4 linked regions of the Caenorhabditis elegans genome follow. The protein of the gene in region 2 purifies or fractionates together with the protein of the main gene of each other region. This does not show direct contact. Each region holds a gene or a part of one and is shown on either strand. Other genes may lie near its edges.

The links.
Region 1: the proteins of psf-1 (region 2) and mcm-6 purify together in Caenorhabditis elegans (affinity purification with mass spectrometry, with the first as the bait; one study listed by BioGRID). This does not show direct contact.
Region 3: the proteins of psf-1 (region 2) and tim-1 purify together in Caenorhabditis elegans (affinity purification with mass spectrometry, with the first as the bait; one study listed by BioGRID). This does not show direct contact.
Region 4: the proteins of psf-1 (region 2) and ctf-18 purify together in Caenorhabditis elegans (affinity purification with mass spectrometry, with the first as the bait; one study listed by BioGRID). This does not show direct contact.

The regions. Positions count from the first base shown.
Region 1 is NC_003281.10:9,792,538-9,799,371, forward strand, and holds mcm-6 (DNA replication licensing factor mcm-6), read left to right. Parts: upstream 1-1,829; 5' UTR 1,830-1,830; coding exon 1,831-2,066; intron 2,067-2,115; coding exon 2,116-2,404; intron 2,405-2,451; coding exon 2,452-2,737; exon of another isoform or gene 2,738-2,758; coding exon of another isoform or gene 2,759-2,974; intron 2,975-3,016; coding exon of another isoform or gene 3,017-3,295; intron 3,296-3,352; coding exon of another isoform or gene 3,353-3,460; intron 3,461-3,505; coding exon of another isoform or gene 3,506-3,678; intron 3,679-3,733; coding exon of another isoform or gene 3,734-3,847; intron 3,848-3,893; coding exon of another isoform or gene 3,894-4,011; intron 4,012-4,286; exon of another isoform or gene 4,287-4,288; coding exon 4,289-5,732; intron 5,733-5,779; coding exon 5,780-5,957; 3' UTR 5,958-6,106; downstream 6,107-6,834. Other genes in the region: R10E11.9 (uncharacterized protein), read right to left, coding at 49-319, 518-607, 659-731, 964-1,021; srxa-10 (Serpentine receptor class XA 10), read right to left, coding at 2,759-2,974, 3,017-3,295, 3,353-3,460, 3,506-3,678, 3,734-3,847, 3,894-4,011; ZK632.2 (uncharacterized protein), read left to right, coding at 6,574-6,714, 6,770-6,834.
Region 2 is NC_003280.10:9,966,824-9,970,397, reverse strand, and holds psf-1 (putative DNA replication complex GINS protein PSF1), read right to left. Parts: upstream 1,726-3,574; 5' UTR 1,718-1,725; coding exon 1,619-1,717; intron 1,573-1,618; coding exon 1,508-1,572; intron 1,440-1,507; coding exon 1,364-1,439; intron 1,313-1,363; coding exon 1,223-1,312; intron 1,178-1,222; coding exon 968-1,177; intron 888-967; coding exon 822-887; 3' UTR 768-821; downstream 1-767. Other genes in the region: R53.5 (Peroxiredoxin-like 2A), read left to right, coding at 1-98, 144-275, 320-539, 584-705; R53.4 (Putative ATP synthase subunit f, mitochondrial), read left to right, coding at 2,351-2,466, 2,531-2,774, 2,821-2,922; dtmk-1 (Thymidylate kinase), read left to right, coding at 3,317-3,359, 3,414-3,533.
Region 3 is NC_003281.10:12,246,898-12,252,002, reverse strand, and holds the start of tim-1 (Protein timeless homolog), read left to right. Parts: upstream 1-1,838; 5' UTR 1,839-1,848; coding exon 1,849-1,930; intron 1,931-2,025; coding exon 2,026-2,179; intron 2,180-2,235; coding exon 2,236-3,901; intron 3,902-5,105. Other genes in the region: pifk-1A (1-phosphatidylinositol 4-kinase), read left to right, coding at 213-306; Y75B8A.23 (Protein kinase domain-containing protein), read right to left, coding at 1,013-1,149, 1,202-1,325. UniProt on the Caenorhabditis elegans protein: Plays an important role in chromosome cohesion during both mitosis and meiosis.
Region 4 is NC_003282.8:10,122,014-10,128,409, forward strand, and holds ctf-18 (AAA+ ATPase domain-containing protein), read right to left. Parts: upstream 4,632-6,396; 5' UTR 4,626-4,631; coding exon 4,561-4,625; intron 4,507-4,560; coding exon 4,340-4,506; intron 4,298-4,339; coding exon 4,059-4,297; intron 4,013-4,058; coding exon 3,810-4,012; intron 3,767-3,809; coding exon 3,598-3,766; intron 3,553-3,597; coding exon 3,095-3,552; intron 2,520-3,094; coding exon 2,267-2,519; intron 2,220-2,266; coding exon 1,956-2,219; intron 1,902-1,955; coding exon 1,638-1,901; intron 1,590-1,637; coding exon 1,374-1,589; intron 925-1,373; coding exon 670-924; 3' UTR 524-669; downstream 1-523. Other genes in the region: irld-21 (Receptor L-domain domain-containing protein), read right to left, coding at 1-274; Ras GTPase-activating protein-binding protein gtbp-1, read right to left, coding at 5,223-5,581, 5,629-5,871, 5,927-6,396.

The sequences.
Region 1 (6,834 bases), on a different chromosome or scaffold from region 2:
GAACGTTTTAATTTTTCAAAAAAAAATCCAATTGAGCAGAATATATAATTATTGAAAATATTGATAATCCAGTTCTTGATCTCTAGCAGCTGCATAAGACCTTCTTTTATCAGTTTCCTCGTAGCTTCTTCGGAGTTCCCATTGAGTTCCAGAATCTATTGTTGAACTGCTAATTGTTTGAATTTGTGAGTCTTTCTTTGTTGGCTTCTTTTCTGGTTCAATATTTGAAGATTTCTTTTTTCTTCCAACGAATATCCAAGAAACACAACAACAGCAACATACAAGTAAGAGAAGAACAAGAAGAATTACTCCGATTATTCTGAAAAAAGTTTAGTTTTCAAGATGTTCCTGTTTAAGATGTTCCAAATTAAGAAATCCAAAATTTCATCCCCTTATAGGGATGTTCTGAGAGATGTCTCATTCTACTACAGATGCTCAAATGAAAACTTAAATTTCTTCTGTGGATTTATATGACTTAGATGTGGATCTAGTTAGAGCTACTTTACAAAAAGCTTACATGGGTTCTTGTCTAAATCTCCAACAACAGTTTTCCAAGAACTCTCCACAACATTCATAATATGTGAAGAAAGAAGCAGTTGGACACCTCCTAAACGAGAAAAACGGAATTATTTGCCAATTATAATATTCTCCAACTTACATTGGAGCAGGTCGTGGTGAGTTAAAATACCACGGTCGGCGGCAAATGACGTCATTGTATGATTGAGATTTAACTGAAACAATTCTTTGACAAGGTATTTTAATAAAATTCATCATATTTTCCAATAAACTTGAAGCTAGGTGAGAAATATGGCTTGTAGCACCGAGATCGTGTCGAGACCCACTCAGAAATCCAGCGTGCGCCTTTCAAAATTAAATGGAAATCTCTAAAAAATGTTTATAGGTGAATTTCATCATACTATAGCGCCTTTTGAACTTTGAACTTTTAAAATTGTCGAAACTCACCATTTGAGATCAGAGTTAGATTTAAAATCAAAACGAATAATTTAAAGAGAAAGTGCATACTTATCGATAAAGCAGTATAACACAACTTTTCTGTCGACAAAGCTTGGAAGTTGTAGTGTCCAGAAAGCAAACATACACATATTCTCGCATAAGTTTCCTCGGCCTGTTGCGCACGTCTGACTCATATTTATTCATTCTAAACATCGCCCGAATTTCTGAAATTCTAAGAAGTACAGTAACCCGAATGGTCTCAAGGTAACCTATCTCCCCTTGAAATTAATTCAAGTTTGAATGAGAATTTTGCATGTTTCAAATTTTTCGTGACTCTCAATAACTACTGATTCTTGAAGTCTACATTACAGGCTATTAAATTAGAAATCGTAGGCCCGATTTTTATCAAAGTACCGTACCGTGTGAGTTTCAAGGGAGGCACGTTTTTGGGAAATGGTCTTGCGACGACATGGCAAGAATTGTTATTTTTTAAAGCGCCTTTTTCTGTTTTTGATTTTTCCCAATAAGTTTTTTATTTTATTCATAAAATATATCTTTTACATCTGAAAAAGCAAGTTTCTGAATGACAATGAATTTCTGTCGAAATTCAAATTCACAGCCGCACAGTTTTCGCGCCTAATTTGTCTGCGTCTCTTTACCGCGCACACTGTTTCGTCTACAACACTCCAGTGTTTCGGTACGCAGGTTGCCGCCAAAATTGAGTTTTGAATTTTAGGTGTCTTATTTCTCGTCGTTTTCCCGCATTCTCATTGTTTTCCTCTTCAGATTGCACCGACTTCCTGAATTTCTAGTTCTCTTTCTTACTTTTTCGATTAAGAAAGTTGCCTTAATTCTTTTTAAATCAATTCTTTCAGCATGGACAACATTATCGGCGGTCAAGCCCAGCAAGTGGAGGACACCGACGGAACTCGTGTGCAGAACGAGTTTTCCAAGTTTTTGAAGAGCTTCAAAGACCAGAAAAATGAGTTTATCTACAAATCTGCGATGAAGGAGCTCGTGCAACCAGAAAAGAATACCATTTTCATTAACATGCAACATCTCTACAAGTTCAGTAACAATCTCGCAACAACTATCGAGCTGCAATACTACAGGTAAATTAAATTCGATTAGTATTTTCGAATACTTATAAATATACTTCAGGGTCTATCCATTCATGTGCGAAGCTCTACACTTGGCCACTTTAGATGCTTGTGATGAAAGTGAGAGACAGCAAATGTTCAAGAAGCAATTGTACGTTTCGCTGTTCAATCTCGATGCGAAAACGAAAGTTCGTGAGCTTTCTGCGGACAAAGTCGGAGGCCTCGTGCGCATTGCCGGTCAGATTGTCCGAACTCACCCAGTGCATCCAGAACTTTCACGGGCTTGTTTCGTGTGTGAGGATTGCGGTGTTACCACACGTGATGTTCAACAGCAGTTCAGATACACTCAGGTATGCGGAGATAATAATTAGCTTATAACGAATTCAAATGTTTTCAGCCAACTAAATGTGCTAATCCTCAATGCATGAATCGTACCAGATTCAGTCTCGATGTCAACTCATCTACTTTCGTCGACTTCCAGAAGATTAGAATTCAGGAGACTCAAGCAGAGTTGCCTCGTGGATCAATTCCACGTACTGTCGATGTGATTGTTCGAGGAGAAATGGTTGAAACTGTCCAACCAGGAGATAAATGTGACATTGTTGGAACTCTTATCGTCATTCCAGATATTGCTCAATTGAGCACTCCTGGACTTCGTGCTGAGACTTCAAATCAGAACAGAGGTAAACAATTTTATTCGAAACTCATTTCTTAGTGGAAGTAGTTGTCGCAGATACCTTGATTGTCTTCTTTTTCGCTGGTTTCATACAGAAAACTCTTTCTCGAACAAAATCCATATAGATTTTTCTGGTAACAGGGGTAAAAATGAAGTATACTAGAAATACATGGCATGGCACCTGAGCTAGTCGAAAATAAGTGAATGCGAGCTTTCCGTCAAGCGAAAGATTTCCAAAGAGTTCCTGAAAACTTGCATAGTAAACGCTATTTCGTTGAATTTATACCGGAACAACTCGTAGAACAAGACTTGTTAGCTCATATACAGAAAGATAGAAAGCAGTGATAAAAGCTTGAATCATAAGCATTCGTTCAGTCTTCTTTTTCGCTTTTAAAACATCCGAAGGCATTGATGTAAACTGATCTCCATTCCCACGTCGGAACATATTTTTGATCTTTGTATATGTTGGTGATCTTTGAAGTTTGAAGTTTATAATAACTAGCACATTGAAAAAGAATGCTACGAACGGAAAGAATACAGAGTAATAATTGGAGAACGTTGTGATCTACAAATTAAATTATTAATTTTTGTAACACAGATATCATCCGTAGATCTACTTTACCTGATGCCTGTCTGGTGCACATTCAGATATGAATCCAACTTTTCGTATATCATAATTTATCCGACACTCACTCAGATAGGGAATAATAAGACATGCGAAATTGGCAGTCTGAAGAATAAATGTATCATTTGAAATCTTAGCATTTCAAGATACCATATGAAATGAAGTATAGAGCCATATTTTGCTAGAAGTGAAAAGCTGAGATGCCTGCATACTCACAACTACTGCTATTCGATTAATAGTCATCAGAATAAGTGTGAGCATTGGATGAAGATAATTGAACGTTACACCCACCGAAATCATAGCTCCTATTGAATCCCGATATGCTGAAAATATAGATTAGAAAATATATCCTTCCTCATGTGTCCGGACAGTTATTACTTTTATATGTTTTATCGGACATGTAATAGGGGAGTATGTAGACCATTATTCCGAATATGACTAGAAGTGCGTTAGAAATTGCCATGTTATAGATGTATGTGGCTGGTAGAGCATCTGAAATGAGATTTTTAAAAAAATAAAATCCCGAATTTTTCGTAACTGTTTTTAGAAGTTTTTATTGCCAGTGATAAAGTAATACAGTAGAATAAATTGAACACCGAACATGTCTCGTAAACCCATAGAGCAATACGCTTAACAACGGCAGCATCCACATCCATTTGTAGAAAAAAGAAACACACCAGCAGGTTGAATAATGTAGGAACCAATGGTTGGGTAGTATTCTTTTGGAAGATGTGATTATATGGACTCCTCGTTTCTCGATAATGTGGTGATTTTGATTTTATTAGCATCTAGTATTCGAACAATTATGGTCACGTGGAACGAGGAAGTAGAATTGATTTTCAGTGACTAGTGATTCCTATGGTTTCATAAATTTAAATATATATTTTAAGAAAAAAAACTAGCGAGACTCAACAATAATCTGATTTTTTACAGGCAGAGCGACCGATAAAAGCGAAGGAATCACTGGATTGAAAGCTCTTGGAGTCCGTGATCTTACCTATAAAATGGCATTCTTGGCTTGTCATATTCAACAAACCGAGAGTCTTGTTGGTGGAGATGCTTCGGGAGCTGTTGAGGAGACTGATTATCTTGATTTATGGTCGAAAATGTCAACAGAAGATCGTGCAACACTGAAGAAAATGAGTGACGATAAGAAAATCGAGAAGAACATTGTCGATTCACTTTTCCCGAACATTTATGGAAACCACGAAGTTAAGCTTGGAGTTCTTCTGATGCTTCTTGGAGGTGTCGCGAAGAAGAGCAGGGACGAAGGAACTTCACTGAGAGGTGATATCAACGTTTGTCTTGTTGGAGATCCATCAACTGCCAAGTCGCAAGTTCTGAAAGCTGTGGAAGAGTTCAGTCCAAGAGCTATTTACACTTCTGGAAAAGCATCTTCAGCTGCTGGTCTGACTGCTGCTGTTGTAAAAGACGAGGAATCGTTCGAGTTTGTCATTGAAGCTGGAGCTCTCATGCTTGCCGACAATGGAGTTTGTTGTATTGATGAGTTCGACAAAATGGACCTCAAGGATCAGGTTGCCATTCACGAGGCAATGGAACAACAAACCATTTCCATCACCAAAGCTGGAGTCAAAGCAACATTGAATGCCCGTGCATCAATTCTTGCCGCTGCAAATCCAGTTAATGGACGTTATGATAGAAGTCGTCCGTTGAAGTATAATGTCCAGATGTCAGCTCCGATTATGTCACGTTTCGATCTTTTCTTTGTGTTGGTCGATGAGTGCAATGAAGTTACTGATTACGCTATTGCCCGTCGGATCCTTGATAATCATCGTGCGATCAGTGAGCATACTGAACGTGACAGTGTTTACAAAATTGATGATATCAAGAAGTATATCGCGTTTGCTCGTTGCTTCAAGCCGAAGATTTCGGATAAAGCTGCTGAAACTCTTGTTCGAGAGTACAAGAAACTTCGTATGTCTGACAGCAACAATGCAGCCACGTCATCATGGAGAATCACTGTTCGTCAATTGGAGTCTCTCGTTCGTCTGTCTGAGGCTCTTGCTCGTCTTCACTGTGGAAAGGAAGTACTGGTGGAACATGTCGAAAAGGCTGCCGAACTTCTCAACAAGTCTATCGTCAGAGTTGAGCAACCAGACATTGCTTTGGATGATGACGACTTTGACAACAATATCATGGTTGTTGAAGCAGACAAAGAGAATCAAAGAGGAGATGATAGTATGGATCATGATGGAGAGAAGGAAAATGCTCCGAAGATTGATATAGCAAAGCTCAAAATCTCATTCAAGGAATACAAGCAATTGTCTGATGTTCTCGTTTTACATATGCGATCCGATGAAGACAATCAAGGAGAAGACGAGTATGATGGTGTCAAGCAGAGTGCACTTGTTGAATGGTTTGTTTAAATATTCAAATATTTAAATTTAAATTTCTGGTTTTTAGGTACTTGTCGACAATCGAAGCAGATTTGGAGACGGAGGAAGACTTCAACGTACAAAAGACTATTTGCGAGCGTGTAATTCATCGTCTCATTCACCAGGATCACGTTCTTCTTGAAGTTGAGCAAGGAGAAGATCCAACTCTCTGTGTTCATCCGAACTATGTTATTGCCGACGAATAATTGAAATAATTGCTTCCCGTGTGTATTGATCTCTTATCCAGGCTCTTTTACCGTTTATCATTATTTTTATCATCATCATCAACTCACTAATTTGCAATTAACTTGAGTATGACTATCACCGGAACTTTTGTGAATGAATTTTCATCAATATTTCCAAACTATTGCTATGTGTTCAAAGTGAAAAATGTATGGGCTGCGGCCTAGTTTCATTGACGGCCATGTACTTCTCGTGGACAACTTTCGCAAACCGAATCTTTTAGTTATCCAGATGTAAAATATTGGGATTTCTGTGCCAAAAACACGGTACCTAGTCTCGAAACGATAAATGTTTGTTAAATGAAAACGGATGTGCGCCTTTAAAGAGTACTGTAATTTACAGATTCATATTTTTTTGTTTTTTTTCTCCCGTTTTTCGATAATTCATGTTTTTAATGTTATTCTTGAGCTTGCTAATGAATAATCTTATTTTTATTTTAAAAAAACGATGAAAATCCCTTTAATTTAAAATTACAGTATTCTATAATGGTGCACATCATTTTTTCCTCAAACCTTTTTCGTGCGGAGACCGGCTACCGTATTTTTAGCTCAGAAATCAAATAATAAATATTTCAGCGTAATGTCTGAATCAGACGGAGCCTTCAAATCACCAAGTTTACCTCCATCTCATCATGCTCCGGCTCCAATGTCGCCTGAAAAAATTCGAGCTCCCGCTGAACAGATGGACGGTCCAGTTGAAGGAGTTATTGATGAAATTGAGGTTTGAAAAATATTTATTGATTATATATATATTGAAATAATCATTTTTCTTTCAGACTGCGGAAGTTCAAGCTGAAAAAGAATCGAAAATTTCAGTGCAAGCACCAGCTCTACACTATGA
Region 2 (3,574 bases):
TTGCTCCAACCTTTGCTCATTTGGCGGCCGCAAAACTTGTCCCAATTCGTGGTGGACCGAAGGAAAAAGAAGTTGTGGAGAGAAATGAGCAGTTTACGGTAAACATTTTCACTCTAAAATTAAAATTATTTGAGAAGTTTCAGGCCGACTCGTTGTTCAAGAAAGGTCCGATCATGGTGATGGCTGTACGTCGTCCGGGATGTATGCTGTGCCGTCGTGAAGCTGCTGAATTGCACACACTGCTCCCGTTGCTCAAGGAAAAAGGAATCGAACTGGTAAGCGCTCCTTCAAAATAGAAAAATTAAAACTTTGCTTTCAGGCCGCCGTTGTGCACGAGACTCGTGGAGCAAATGAGTTCAAGTCTTGGTTCTCCGGCGGTGATGTCTATTTGGACACTGATCGCACTTTCTACGGTCCAAACGAACGCTGGCTGCCAGTTTGGATGGGATTTCTTCGTTTCGGAACTTACTCGAATGTTTACAAAGCAAAGAAAGCCAAGGTCGAGGGAAACATGGAAGGAGAGGGAAGACTTTTGGGAGGTACGAAAAATTATTAAAATTATTTTTTCATAATAATTGTTCAGGTGTTTATTTGATTGCTAACAACGACATCGTGTTCACTCATTTGGAGAAGGAGTGGGGAGATGCTGCCGATATCAAGGAAGTTCGTGCTGCCGTCGAGAAATTCTCGGAGAAGTCGAAATAATTTTTTAACTTATGTGTTTTCTTAATTAATTAAACGAGGCTACTTTTTTTGTAAAATAAACTGACAAGAAGCTATTTATACAGATCACAGGTTGAAAACAAAATACCGACAACAAGTCAATGAACAAGCTCGAGAACACCCTGACGTATCAGCATTTCGCAGTCTTGGCGTGGAAGGGAGTGCTGAAAAATGTTATACATTATTTAAAAAATTAAAAACGGGATTTCTCTTTTTTCAAATAAAGAAAAATTCGAAGACTTACCAAACTATCCTTGGACAGCTGAACTTGAGTTCCATCTGACGTTTCAAATTCTCCATAATCCTCGAGAGCTCTAACTTGTACAAAAAGTGACTTCGGTGGTGCAGAATGAAGCAGCAGATTAACACCACCTTCTCCAAGATTGCTTTGGAATCTTGCCAATGTGCTCGAATACTCATTGAAAAACTGAATTTCCGCATCGCAGAGGGCGTTCTGAAAAATAATGGTTGACAAATTTTAATCATGTGCACCGATTACCCTAACAGACGCGGGAAGAGCACCTCCATACTTCCATCTGAATGATCGAATCCTGTTTTTCCTCTCGTTCACATAGGCCATCATGCAACGCTGGAAAATTGAACCACTACAATATTTCAAAAATCGACCTTCTCGACTTACTCGAATATGGCACATTGCAGCTAAACGAGGTTGAAGAAGCGTAGAATCATGAGGGAGTCCTGCACGGATTTTTTCACTGAAAAATATGATTTTAAATCAAGAAGTCACGAACGAATCGGTACGCTTCCGAAATGTATCACTTACACGACGGCAGCATTCTTTTGAAACAACTCATCGATTTTCTGATAACATTGGCGTACAAGTTCTGTCTGAAAAGAACTCAAATTTAAAGCAGAAAATAGGATATAATTTTACGTTATAAGGCGGTAATACATCTGGATTTCTTTTCATCTCTAAAACAAGTTGTAGTGCTTTGTCGGCGACGCCTCCTCGATTCTGATCGCCGGAACTCATTTTTTGAACTGCAAAAATTAAAAGTTGATTTGAAAAATAAAATTTTAAAGGGAAATACTTGATTTTAAATATTAAATTCGAAAATAAAAAACATTAAATTTAAAGTCCTCGACTTTCCCACCATTTCGGCTCTTGTGAACTAGTTGTAGACTCGGCCACGGCCATGGGTCTCGCAGCGATTAGCCGAAATGTATCGCCGCCCGTTGAAAACTGCACACATTTTTCTTAAGCATTTTTTAAAAGTGGAATATTGACGATTTTTCATTATTTACTCAATTAATTTCTTCTAAAATCAAATATATCACTAAATTCTGAGTTAAATTCGTTTTAGGCGTTACTGAAACGTAATCCCATGGTCGATAATGATCAATGTTTACAAAAATACATGTTTATATTTAAAACAATATTTAGCACATAGTTAAGGATTATTGGAGCTGGAACGTTCTTTTTTAAATGTATATTCTTCCTGATATTCATGTGTATATTTGCTAAATTGAACAAAATGCCTGTTTTGGTTGTTTTTCTAATTAATTTCTTGTTTATTGATTATTTGGCTTAATCGTTACTCGATTCTCACTATTTAATTAAATATCTGGTTTATTTTTATTTTTTTAATTCTTCGAATTTTCAGTTATGGCCTGGTTCCGTCCTCCACCACCACACACTCAACTCAGACCATGGGTTCCGGACGCGATCTTTATCCCGATCTCTCGCGCCGTTGAGCGTGTCGGAGTGTTCTTCTACAACCGGTTTGTCATTGTCTGAAAACGACGAATAAAATTCTTTTCCAAAAATAACCGATATAATTTTTAGCGTGTTGAACAAGACCGAGGTTGGATTGTTCGACAAGAGATGGAACAAGAACGTTCACGGACCATACTGCCACTGGAGATACTACGGAAAGCTTGATACCAAGTTCATGGATGTGAAGCTAGGAGATCTTCCAGCCTGGATGGCTCGTCGTGAGAAGACCCCATCTGCCTTCTACAACGAGTTCATGCGCAATATCTGGAGAGTCCACAACCTCTATTACTCAGGACCAGTCTACAATAACACTGTTCGTTTAAATTTAAAAAAAAAATACTAATTTTTTTTATTTTTAGGTCAAGGTAATCTTCCGCTTCATCTTCGCCTACTCGTTCCTCAATTGGCTCGTCAAGTCTCACCGTTACGTCGATTTCCAGAAGACGATGTACCATTGGTAGACACCATCCGATTTCGTCTACTCTTCAAAGCTCCACATACAAACTCTGTCGCTGGGGGAGGACGAAACAGCCATCCGATTTTTTCGTATTCTTTTTTCCCCCAATTCATCTCATTCTCGAGACGTCTTCTGTTAATTTAGTCCCCTATCGATTTTGTCCGTTTGTGTCTTTTTTCTATGAGAGAATAAATAGTGTATGGATCGGTTGAATAGAAATATTAAGAAGAAGGTTAGATAGCCGATGCGATTTTCTGGATTTTTTCGCTGTCGGCTTTATCTTTAGATTTGAATCTGTAGATCTAAAGTTCCGATTCTATAGAAGCGCGTCTTCATGTTTCTATTTTATTTTATATTTCTCCATGCTGTCTTATTTCCAGAGCCTCATCTCTTCACCTATGGCTACTGATCAGAAACGAGGGCTCCTGATTGTATTCGAAGGTATTTGATTTAGCTTAATTTTAAAGAAATATCAATATTTTAATATTTTAACAGGGCTCGATCGGTCCGGCAAGTCGACACAAGCCAAGCGACTCGTTGAGTCCATCAACAAAAAATCCACAGAATCCGGAGATGCTTCATCTTCCCCATCAGCCGTTCTTCAAGCTTTTCCAGGTTTAACTAGAGAATTAAAAAATATTTTTTTATTTTCAAAA
Region 3 (5,105 bases), on a different chromosome or scaffold from region 2:
CGATTTTAGCGGAAATTTTGACGTTTTCAACCCAAAAAAACCATAAAAATTCGACAAAAATGAAATTTCGAAGCTACAGTACTCTGTTTAAAGGCGCACACCTCTCCGCATTTAACAAAAAAGTCGCGTCGAGACCCAAGGTACTGTAGTTTTGGCCCAAAAAAATGACAAAATTTCAGTAGAAAATTCTTTAAAAAAATGTTTTTTTCCAGATACATGTACTCGGTGATCACCAACTGCTTCCTGAATATTCGCTCGAAAATGTACGATCAACTGCAATATTTCCAGAATGAAATTCCATATTAAAAATTTGCCAAAACCAAAAAATTAATTTATTTATTTCTCCATTTTTTCCCCACCCGCTGCCAGTTTTTTCTTCTTGTGTTGCTATAATTTTATTTATTTATTTCTAATTTATTTGAATCCCCCGCTCCCAATGTATAATAGTGATTTTAGGTTTTCGGTGTATAGTTTTAGAAAAATTCGCTTTAAAAAATCGATATTTGCTCATTTTTCGAATTTTCAGCAAAAAAAATCACCCGGAGATCTTAAATTTCATGAAAATGCTTATTTTGCAAAAAAAAAACCAGTTTTAATTCAAAATGCAATCGCGCTCCATCGCCAAAATTTGCGTCTCGTTAGTTTTTGGCGGTAAAGCCGAAAATTTCAACAATTTTCGCCGATTTAAACCGTTTTTTCGTAATTTTTATCCGTTTTTCATGAATTTTGTATTAAAGGTGATAATTGCATGAAACAATTATTTCCATAATTTCGGCATCGAAATCGTTGAAAAACAACGAAAAATGCTCGATTTTAATGATTTTTAGCTCAATTTAACCTTAAAATTCTGAAAAAAACGACTAAAAATGCTCGAAAACGGGAAAAATCAACGGAAATAAATGAAAATTTTCGAATTTACACGGTTTTCCCGCGCCGACTAGCCAAGCTTTGGCGCTGGAGCGCGATTGCACATTCATTTCAACCAAAAAATTTCGAGAAAAATCCAAATTTATTACTTTCTCTTTACGATATTATAGACAAATTGATTGGATCCTGCAACCATTCGCTTTTCCACATAATATGGATCATTCGAGTATCCAATGTCGTGAGTAGGTGTGCAAAAATCATCATTATCAGCAGTTTCTCCATCTGAAAATCGATAATTTTACCTTTTGCCGCAATACGCCTGCCAGGAGCCTACCAGAAGAACTTGACGAGTCCCAAGTGGCAGAAGTATCGTCGTCTTCGCCGAGCTCCGGGTCCCAGTCATCTAGTTCTTTCACATCAGAGTCATCGTTGATTAGTTTCCCAATTTTCGCACCCATCTTGTGCTCGAAGTTAAGGAATTAAGGAATAACGAGAATTCTGATTTTCTAACTTTCTAAATTCAAATTTAGAACTTCACGTTCCACAAATTAATTGAATATTTTGCTTCAACGGATTCCCCGATGAAGCGATTCCAAAAATTATTTTTTATTCGACACACTCTCTCGAGAGATCGAAACGACAGCTAACCTTGGTTAAACTGGGTTAAAACCAAATTGACACGATTTCGTTGGCGACCACTAATCTGCTGTGGACGGACATTTGCCGGGTTCCGCCGGGTGCTGTGTTTTGTGGGGGGAGACACTCCGCCCATTTGTACGTAGTGTGGTTGCACAGCGCGCGAAAAAACAAATTTTGAAGCGAAAATTAGTTTAAAACGCATTTTTTATAGATTTCCGAGAGATTTAATCGATTTTTTCGACTTTAAACCGAAAAATTGGCTAATTTAATCTTGGAAATGCCGCAAATTTTCTCTATTTTCGAAATATTTCCAGCTAAATTTAAAAATTTCCAGGTTCTTCAATGAATGTGCTCGTCCAGGGAGCAGTCCATGCTCTCGGATACTACGAAGATGGAAAATATAGCCGAGAACCGGATTGTTATGGTGAATAAGCGGAATTTTCGATTTAAAATCGATTAAAATAGCAATTTTTGCCAATTATGCTCATTTTCTGCAATTTTGAATGTTTTTTTTTTCAGAAAGCATCCGAGATTTAATTCGATATCTACGCGAAGACGGTGACGATCACACTGCTCGAATCGAATGCGGGCGGCACAATCTTGTCGAGCAGGATTTGGTTCCGATGGTGAAGTGTGAAGATTTGACGGATGATGAATTCGATATTGCTATTAGGTAAAGCTGGGTCTCGCCGCGATCTCACTATTTTTTTTATTTTTTTTTAATTTCAGATTAATGGTGAACCTGTGCCAACCTGCAATATCAACGATGCGCGGCAAGCCTCCCGCCGATCGAGATCAATGGAAAATGTACTGGGAACTCGAGGAGAACCTCCGTCGCGCCAAAACCGCCTTCTCCGACGCCCACTTCTTCACTGCCATCAAAAAACGAATCGATAATTATTTCATCGATACAGAGTACGAGGATCGCGACGAGAGGCTTCGGCTTGTGGTGGAACGTATCGTTTTGCTGATTAAATACGTGTTTTCCATCAATCCGGATACATCAGAAGGCCGAAGAACTCGCATCGAGGATAGCAGTCATGATCGTGTGATTATTGCGTTTTTAGAGTCGGGAATCGATAAAACTCTGATGCATATCGCGAATCAGCCGAGAGAAAAAGAGTTCCACGTCACGATTCTCGACATTTTCGCGTTGATCCTGAAAGAGCAGACAGCTGAGGATCTGGCCACCAAGTCTGAAGAAGTTTCGACAGCTGAACAGAAGAAGACCGAGGAGGAATTTCGAAAAATCATCGAAAACCACGTTGTCAAAGAGACTCAGAAGAGAAAGTCGTTCTCGAGATTCGGTGGATCCTACACAATCAAAGGTCTTAAGGGAATCTCGGCGAATTCTAGTCAAGTAGTGTTCAAACCGATTCAAAACGTGGAAAAGCACAATTTTCTGGATGATCGGAAGGCGAAAAAGCGGGCTCCGAGGAATAGAAGACCGTTTGAAATCGACACAAATTCGCATTTCGCGTCGTCTGAAGTTCGTGGGATGCTGAGAGATATGGTGATCCGAATCATTGAGACTTGCTTCAACAGGCTTATGAAAAGCTCGAAAACGACGGTCTTCGTGCAAGTTCAAAAGACATCCCAAATCAACTACTTCTTCCTGATCAAGTTCGTCCTCCGATTCGTCAGGCTATCGCGTCAGGATCATCTCCTCGAAAGGATCTCAGAGTGCATCGGAGTTGAAGCATTCCACGAGAATAACGTCCAACTCACGGAATACGTGGAGAATGCGACTACGCTGAAGGGAGTCGAAGCTAAGAGTCATGGGCTGAAGGCTCAGTATGCTCTCGGAGCTTACAATGAGCTTGTGCTCCTTCACCGTTATATCTACGAGCATGCCAAGGAGGAGAATGAACGGAAATTCGCGAAACGAGCGCTGGAGCATATTGTGAACGTTGAGGAGTACAGAGAGCTGCCGATTTTCATCATTAAGAAATTCTCGAGCTCCGTGCTCTCTAACAACTTTCTCCGAGAGCTTGTGCTCACCACACATCACTACATGAAGCTTGTCGAGAGATTTGTGAAGACAGGAGCATTGAAGAAAGTCACGAAGAAGGTGAAGGTGCGGAAGGCTACGAAGAAGAGCAAGATGTCCGAGGAGGATGTCCGCTCGGAGTTTGATGGAATGAGCAAGAAGGATCTCGATCGGCTCTGGGAGGAATCCAAGGGCCTTGTACTTCAAATTCTGAAGAAAGAAGTGCCGGAGATGAGGGGAATGAACCCGATCGACTCGCAGCTTGATGTTCCCGTAGATGCTCAGCAGAAGTTTGCCAAGCTTTCGATTCAAAGATCGTTGAGATCCAGAGGATTTCCAGCAGCGGTTGGGCTGTACCATGCTTCGAGGGCCTTGTGGCCTGAGAGTTTTAAAAGAGGACTAACGGTTCGGACGATTTTGAACTTATAGACCCAAAATGAGCTCAAATGAACGAATTCTTATAATGAAACTGCTCAAAAAAAATTTAAAAATTTTTTTATGGCCGTTTAAATTATGAAAAAAATACACAGATTTTAGCTAAAATCACGAATTTTTTCCATTTTTCCCTGTCAAATCCGTCCGAAGTTGGCTTTTTTGGAATTATCGTCTTTTATTACATATATTGGTAGTTTATCTCGTTTAATTTCGTCGATTAAAGTACATTTAAAGCCGATATGGAACCAAAAATCATCGAAATTGGTTACCTATCGGCTTTAAATGTACTTTAATCGACGAATTTAAATGAGATAAACTACCAATATATGTAATAAAGGACGATAATTCCAAAAAAAGCCAACTTCGGACGGATTTGACAGGGAAAAATGGAAAAAATTCGTGATTTTAGTTAAAATCGGTGTAATTTTTCATAATTTTGAACCGCCATAAATAATTTTTGAAGAAATCCGTTAAAATTGAGCAAATCGCCACTGAAATCGACGAAAGCGGATGAAAGCGGATTAATTTTAAATTCGCGCGTGAATGAATCCTAGGCCACCACACGATTTCTAGGCCATATTCGTTCAACAACACATTGATTTAAATGTTATTTTTCAAACTTTAATTCGTTTTTCTTTCTCAAAAAGTTTGAAAAAACTGGGAAGAAGAAATTGTATAAAATTCTTATATTAAAAATACAATACAGAACAGAAAAAATATTCGAAAAATCCTCATGGCCTAGGATTTCTTTAGTTAAATTTCGAAGATTTTTCGCCGATTTTTCTGGCTTAAAATGTTCAATGTTAACGGATTTTTCCCGTTTTTCTTTTGTTATATTCGTAAGGATGAGCACGAATACTACATTTTAAAACAATTTCCCCATTCAGGATACTCCTTCTTCAAATGAACGAATTTCGTAATGACCCTGCTCAAAAAATTTTCAAAATTTTTTTATGGCGGTTCAAAATTTTGAAAAAAATTACACTGATTTTAGCTAAAATCGCGCGAATTTTTCCCATTTTTCCGTGTCACATCTGTCAGAAGTTGACTTTTTTTGGAATTATCGTCCTTTATTACATACAGTGTCGGCCAAAAGTATATGCGTTTTGTGTTTTTCAGTGATTTTTCAAAATTTTCAAACAAGTTTAACTCTAAAACTAGAAATTTAGGTATA
Region 4 (6,396 bases), on a different chromosome or scaffold from region 2:
CAGTTATATTCTGAATATTTTTCATGAAAGGCGCTGAAGTTAATTGAGTATTCCATATTTGTAGAACTCCTCGAATTTGAAGAACATTTTTGAATAAAGTGATCAATTGTTCACTTTTCATTTCAGAATTTTGATCGATACGAAATCTTCCAATAATTTGAGAGCATTCAGTTGGAAATAAGCTCTCTTTTGTGATATAATGAACATTAAATGAACAATTGTCTGAATCAACTTCCGATAAATAAAAGAGCCACATAAATATATGAAAAAACATTCTCAAAATATTTTTGTTTGAGAATAAAGTTTGTGGAAGTAGGAATCGGTGAAGATATTTAATTGCATATTTCAATTGAGTTGCCATGAAAACAAGTGACATTTTCGATGAAGCTGAAATGCTATTATAGCATTCTTAATTTTGAAATGTGAATTCTATGAACTATTAAGAGATCATGTTTTTGTTCATATCAATTTCGAACCCCGCATTATTTTCTGCAGAAAATTAACAATGTTTTAGTCTGAACTTAAAAGGAATGTATTGTTCATTGGGGTGATAAAATCGGAAAATGAGCAAAAGATCATAGGAACGTGTATACAGCGCTGAAACAACTGAAAAAAGTAGTATACAGCAAAAATAGTGTCATTTTACAAACAAATACTTTGAAATTAAGGTTAAGAATCACCAAAAAGTATAGAGTTGAGTTGTTGCATGGTGACTTTCTTTTTGACAGCACTACTGTCTCCATCCTGATGATTAAATACTATATCTGTTAGTCTTCCATTGTGTAATCTTTTCATTGCTCCGGCAGATAGTCTCTTCTTCTTTTTGCTTTCTGATTCAACGATTGCTTTGATTTTATCGGCATTCGTAGAAATTCGTTCAGTATTCGAGGTACTCTCTGTCAGACGAACACGCATAAGAGTGATCTGAAAATTTTTAAGAATTAAATTAAATTCTGAAAATAAAATTTGCCATGGCCTGGGCAGAACACGGAGCTTTTTTTTTGCTCAAATAGACTGAGACTTCCCAAACAATTTTATGGTGTTTCAGAATTTCGAATTTCGAATTTGTTAAAATCTGAGATTTTCCCAAGCTTGTCGTAGCAGCTGAAATACAGTTTTTATTAAAGGGTGAAAATTTGATTTAAAAACTGTATTCCAGTTGTTGCGACAATTTTCGAAAATGCAGAACGCCACAAAAATGTTGAAATTTTTTTTGAGAAATCTCATTTTCAAAATCGAGTGTCTCGGGCCGGTTTTAATCTATTTGATGAGAAAACCTACAAACTCTACTCCTTATTTTAAGAAAGCACAAAGTGTGAATTCAAAACTTTCAGGCAATGAAAGAAAATTAATTTAAAACAATAAATACAAACCTTATGAGCAATCATTTGTCTTGTCGCATTGGCAAGATACGGCCGCTTTGGTCCATCCAGTGGAAACATTGTCAAAATATCAATTGAAGGAGTAAATAACCAATTAACTTGATCTTTTACCATTGTGGCAGTGTATGTCAAACCATAATCACACATAATCGAGACAGTTTGATTGAAAGTCGCAAGTTCCCGTTGATTATACAATGACTCATTCATCTGAAAATTTAAAAATTAAAAAAAAAGAGAACAACCAGCGATTGTTACCGGTTTGATAGGTGGCTGAACAATATTGACAATGAATGGCAAAATATCCAGCAAAAGCTCTTTTTTTGGTGCACCTCTAGTCGATTGTCCACATGATCGAACTGCGCTGATTGTTTCTTCCGATTCCTTCGTTTTTTGGAAAATATTTTGTTCCAACTGTGGATAGGCGATCGGAACACGAGCATGAGTCGCAATGTTGAGATGGAGGGAAACGAAGAATGAAAAAACATACTTTAGAACCGACCAGTTTTGAAGACTGTGTACCTGAAAACAAGAATTTATAATAGTTGTTTAATACTAATAGTAATTAAAACTCACGATTTTCTGAATATCATCATAGAACAAAAACCATGTAGACGCTTTGCGTATTACTCCAATTGGAAGAGTTACAAGATAATTTGCATGTAAACCAGACACAAATCGTTCTTCTCCTCCATGGTCTGCCGATATTCGTTCGATATCAAATATTCTTTCTCGTACAGATTTGATTCCTCCCTTTGCGTCTGTATGTTTAGATAACTCAAGAATTGACGACCAATGTTCGAAAATAGAAGCAGATCCGCCTTTCTCTTTCTCAATAACCTAAAAAACAGATTTCTATTAATATCAAAAAATATACAGCGTCATACCTCATGGATCAACTTCATTCCAATTGCTCGATTCGATTTTCGTGCTGCCACCGCTACCCATTGAAGAGTATTAATTGAATGTCTCATATCATTTGCACACAATTCGCATAACTTTCTCAAAGTACTCAAATCACATCGAAGACGTTCTCGGTCACAAATTTCTTCCAGTCGTTTTGCTAAAACATCTTGTTTTGTTGCGACTAGTTGCACACACCAGGCGACTCCTCGTAAATCACGCAATGCTGGCGTATACCTTTAAAAACAAATAATTAGAAAATCAAACACATCTTACGAATACATTGAGTTATCCCGATAAAGGGGGTTTGTGTTCCGATTTTTACCAAAATCTGAAACCAAGAATTTTAGTTTTTGATTTCTTTCGATTTTTCGAAAAATATCTTGAAAGTTTGATCATTTTTATTCTATTTTATTTTTATTCATGTTTTCTTGTGTTTTTATCAACAAAAACAGAATTTGATTTCAAAAAAAAAAAATAATTTTATGGTTCACTGATTTTTTTTCTTCGAAAAATTGTCGTTTTTCGATTTTTAGATTTTCAGTGAAAAAAATCGTCAAAATTTTCGCTGACATCTTTGTTCCCGATTAGGACTGTCGTTTTTAGTTGGTGTTTCTTGCAAAAATGGATTTTTGGACTAAAAAACAAAAGATTATCTTTCAAAAATGTAGGTATGATGGAAAAATCAAAAGTGTTTTTTTTTTCGGTTTTTTGGAGAAAATTGGTTTTTGGTTGAAAATGTTTTTGCAACTGTTCCCGATATCCTATTATATATTTTCTTTCTGTGTCACTGAAGCCATAAAATAACTTACAAATTATTGCAAATTCCAATAATGGGTCGCCGAATGGCTTTTTTGCCTGTTGCTTGAATACACCGAACCAAATGACGAATAGTATCAATTGGTGTTCCATCAATTTCATCAAGAATCAGGCATGCTGGCCGTTGATCTGCATCAAGTGTTCGAGATGTTTTTACAGCTCCTTCTAGTACTTTATTTAAATCTGCGACTGTTCGAGCATCACTTGCATTTACATCAATTGTTGAATAGCCTGCTTGACGAGCGACAATTCGTGCTAGTGTACTTTTACCGAGACCAGCCGGGCCAGAAAGAAGCAACATTTTCGATGATGGACGCCGAATTTTGCCATTATCCATGTGTAGTACTTCTCGTTCTTTTTCACCGAGGCTTGCTAGTAAATCGTCGACTTTTTGATGGAACACACACTCGTCCCACATTTTCAGCCATGTAAGAATATTTCGATTGACAGTCTGCAATATCGTGACTTCTTTTTTTAAAATAATGTAATTCCTTACACTGTCCGAGAGCAAATCTGAGAAATTTTTGGCTTCGTACTTGTTCACCCATAATGATGATTCTGGATGAGATTTATTATTTTCATATTCAGACGGTGTTTCAGTTTCTTTAAGCATGCGTGAAAACTCGGCTTCCTGTTCTTTAACGCGAGATTCTTCTTTCAACTTGCTGAAAACTATAAAAGTATTCAATTTTCTAGTGAAACTATTACCTAAGACGTTCGGATTCCTGACAAATCGACTGAAAAGCTCGAAAACCGACCCTCGAACGGGTTGCTTGTTGGGTAATCGATTCTACTAACGGAACAGAAAGACGATCATCACGGAAAGTTCGAATATAAAATCGTTGCCCGTTGACGACATCACTGATACCAATCCAAGGTGAACCATCAGTTACCGGATTTCGCATGATTTCCTGAATTCAATGATAAAAATATAATCTTTCAAGGAAAAGTAATAACCTGTCGTCTTCTATATCTCCGTTCCATTTCTAGCTCACAAAGTGAAGAAATTGTCTGCTCTCCGCTTTGAAAATCGTCAAAAGCATTAGAATGATGATTTTCATTCATTTTTCTTTCAGCTTGAGCAGCTGCTTCGTTGATTTTCTGTTCCAAGCTTTCGAGGGCTCTTCTCTTAACAGCATTTACTTGTGACTTTTGTAATACTTCACTGGAAACTGTTTCCATTCTCATATGCCAATCTAAATATATAATTTAATTGGAAAACCTTCTTTTTGACTGACCCATTGGATGTGAACGTCTTCCATATTGATCAAATACGTCTTCTACTTCATTCAAGCGTCTTTTTCTTTTACCATATCCAACTTCTTCGAGAGCATTCCTAACTTCATTGATTCTTTGATTTTCAGAGTCTCCATTCGGAACTACAGCTAGCTGATCCTCATCATCTCTTAAAATTCAGCGAATGTAAAACTACTTCTGCTTCTCAACATAAAGATCTTACGGATATTCAAGTTGCCCATCATCGTCGGCAAACCCAGAATGCAGTACATTGTAGTCATCATCCATGTCTTGCTGTATCCATTAGAAATGTTAGAAACACAATCTCACAACAATAAGTACAATACACTGTTACTTGACACACTACATATAAAAAAAACAAATTGAGAAACTTGAATAATTTAGATACAAAACTTTATTTTAATTCCAACGTGCCAAAATGGGGGTAAGAACTTGAGTACAAAGAGTACTCCCGAACACCAATGAAGGAAACAATAACGGGGGCTTGTAAAAGGAGAAGGAAAGTGGTAATATATTAAAACAACATTCAAATACAACTTGGATATTCGGTGGTGGGATGATGTCTGATTGCAACTTGTACTCGAAAAGAGTAAACTCAGATGGGATCACGGTCGTCAATCACCGAAAACCGGGGAGATAGGATGTGAAAATGGGATGCGGGCTGATTGGATTGGATTGTTGAGAGATCTACTAAAACGCTACACGCCATAAAATTCAGATACCAGAATCTTCTTACTTAAATCATCATTATTAGAACGGTGAGGAAGGAAAGGAGAAACAATAAATAGGAAAATGAGAAGGATAGGTACAGAATCTAATGGATGTGCAATTCTTACAAGAAGGAAAAAGGAGAACGGAAAGCTTCTAATTTTGTCCCGCATTTTGGAAACCGCTGCGCATACCACCTCGTGGAGCACCACCCGAACCGCCACGGCGGAAGAATTGTCCACCGCGTGGTTGGAAACCTCCACGTCCTCCTCGGAATCCGCCGCCTTGTGGTTGATCACGTTGCTCACTAATTTGAGCATGTCCGTCAAATCCGAATGCATCCAGTTTGAGTGGAAGCTTCCACACGCCTTGCTCATCCTTTGTAGCCGCTTCGAAAATGGCTTTTACTCCGGCCTTGTTACGCATGGTAATAAATGCAAAGGCATGTTTCGATGTGTCGTTCGGACTGTCAAGAACCTTGCGCGGCATGCGAACCTCCTCGATTTCTCCATATTCTTAAAATGAAAATTTAGTGAACTATTGGGACTATTAATTTGCTTACTGTAGAACACCTGCTTGATTTCCGATTCAGCCTGAGCTGTGTTGCTGGGGACAATCTCTCGAGTGATTCCTCCCAAATAGATCTTACGCTCATTTAGGTTGGCATCTGAACTTTCCTGAGCTTGGCGCAATTCATTAGCTGGGTGCGACTGTCTCTGTTGCTGATAAAGAGGAGCATGCGATCCTTGTTGTTGCTGATGCATGGAAGGCTGCATGTGGTGCATTTGTGTTTGCTGATGGATTTCTGAAAAATAAATAATCTGAGACTAGCCCGATCATCTTTCGTTTTTTCAACTCACGCTGTCCTTGTCCATAACTTTGTTGTTGTGGGGGCTGAGACTTTCCACCTCCACCCACAAGATTAGCCCACGTTTTCTGAACCTTTGGCTGTTCTTGAACAGGCTCAGGAACTGGGGCTCTCTGCTGTGGGGGCTGTTGGGCAAGCTGTGGTTTCTGCGGTGTTTTCGCTACCTCCTTTTCCACAGATTTCGGAGTGTCTTGCTTCACTATACGATCTTCAGCTTTCTTTGGCGTTTGCTGCTTTGGAGGAGCCGGCTTTGATTGTTCCTTAGGTTGCTCGGTTTTGGAAGATTTGGAATCCTTTCCATTTGCTCCACTGGCGTGTCCGTTATGACCAGTCGACGAAGTAGTCTTCTCCTTTTCCGTATTCGCGACGAAAAACTTATCAATGTACTGAAAAGCGTCTGATTCGACATAGTATTTTTTCTGCCCTTGTTGCCCAAGCAAAAATGATTGAAGGAATGGACGG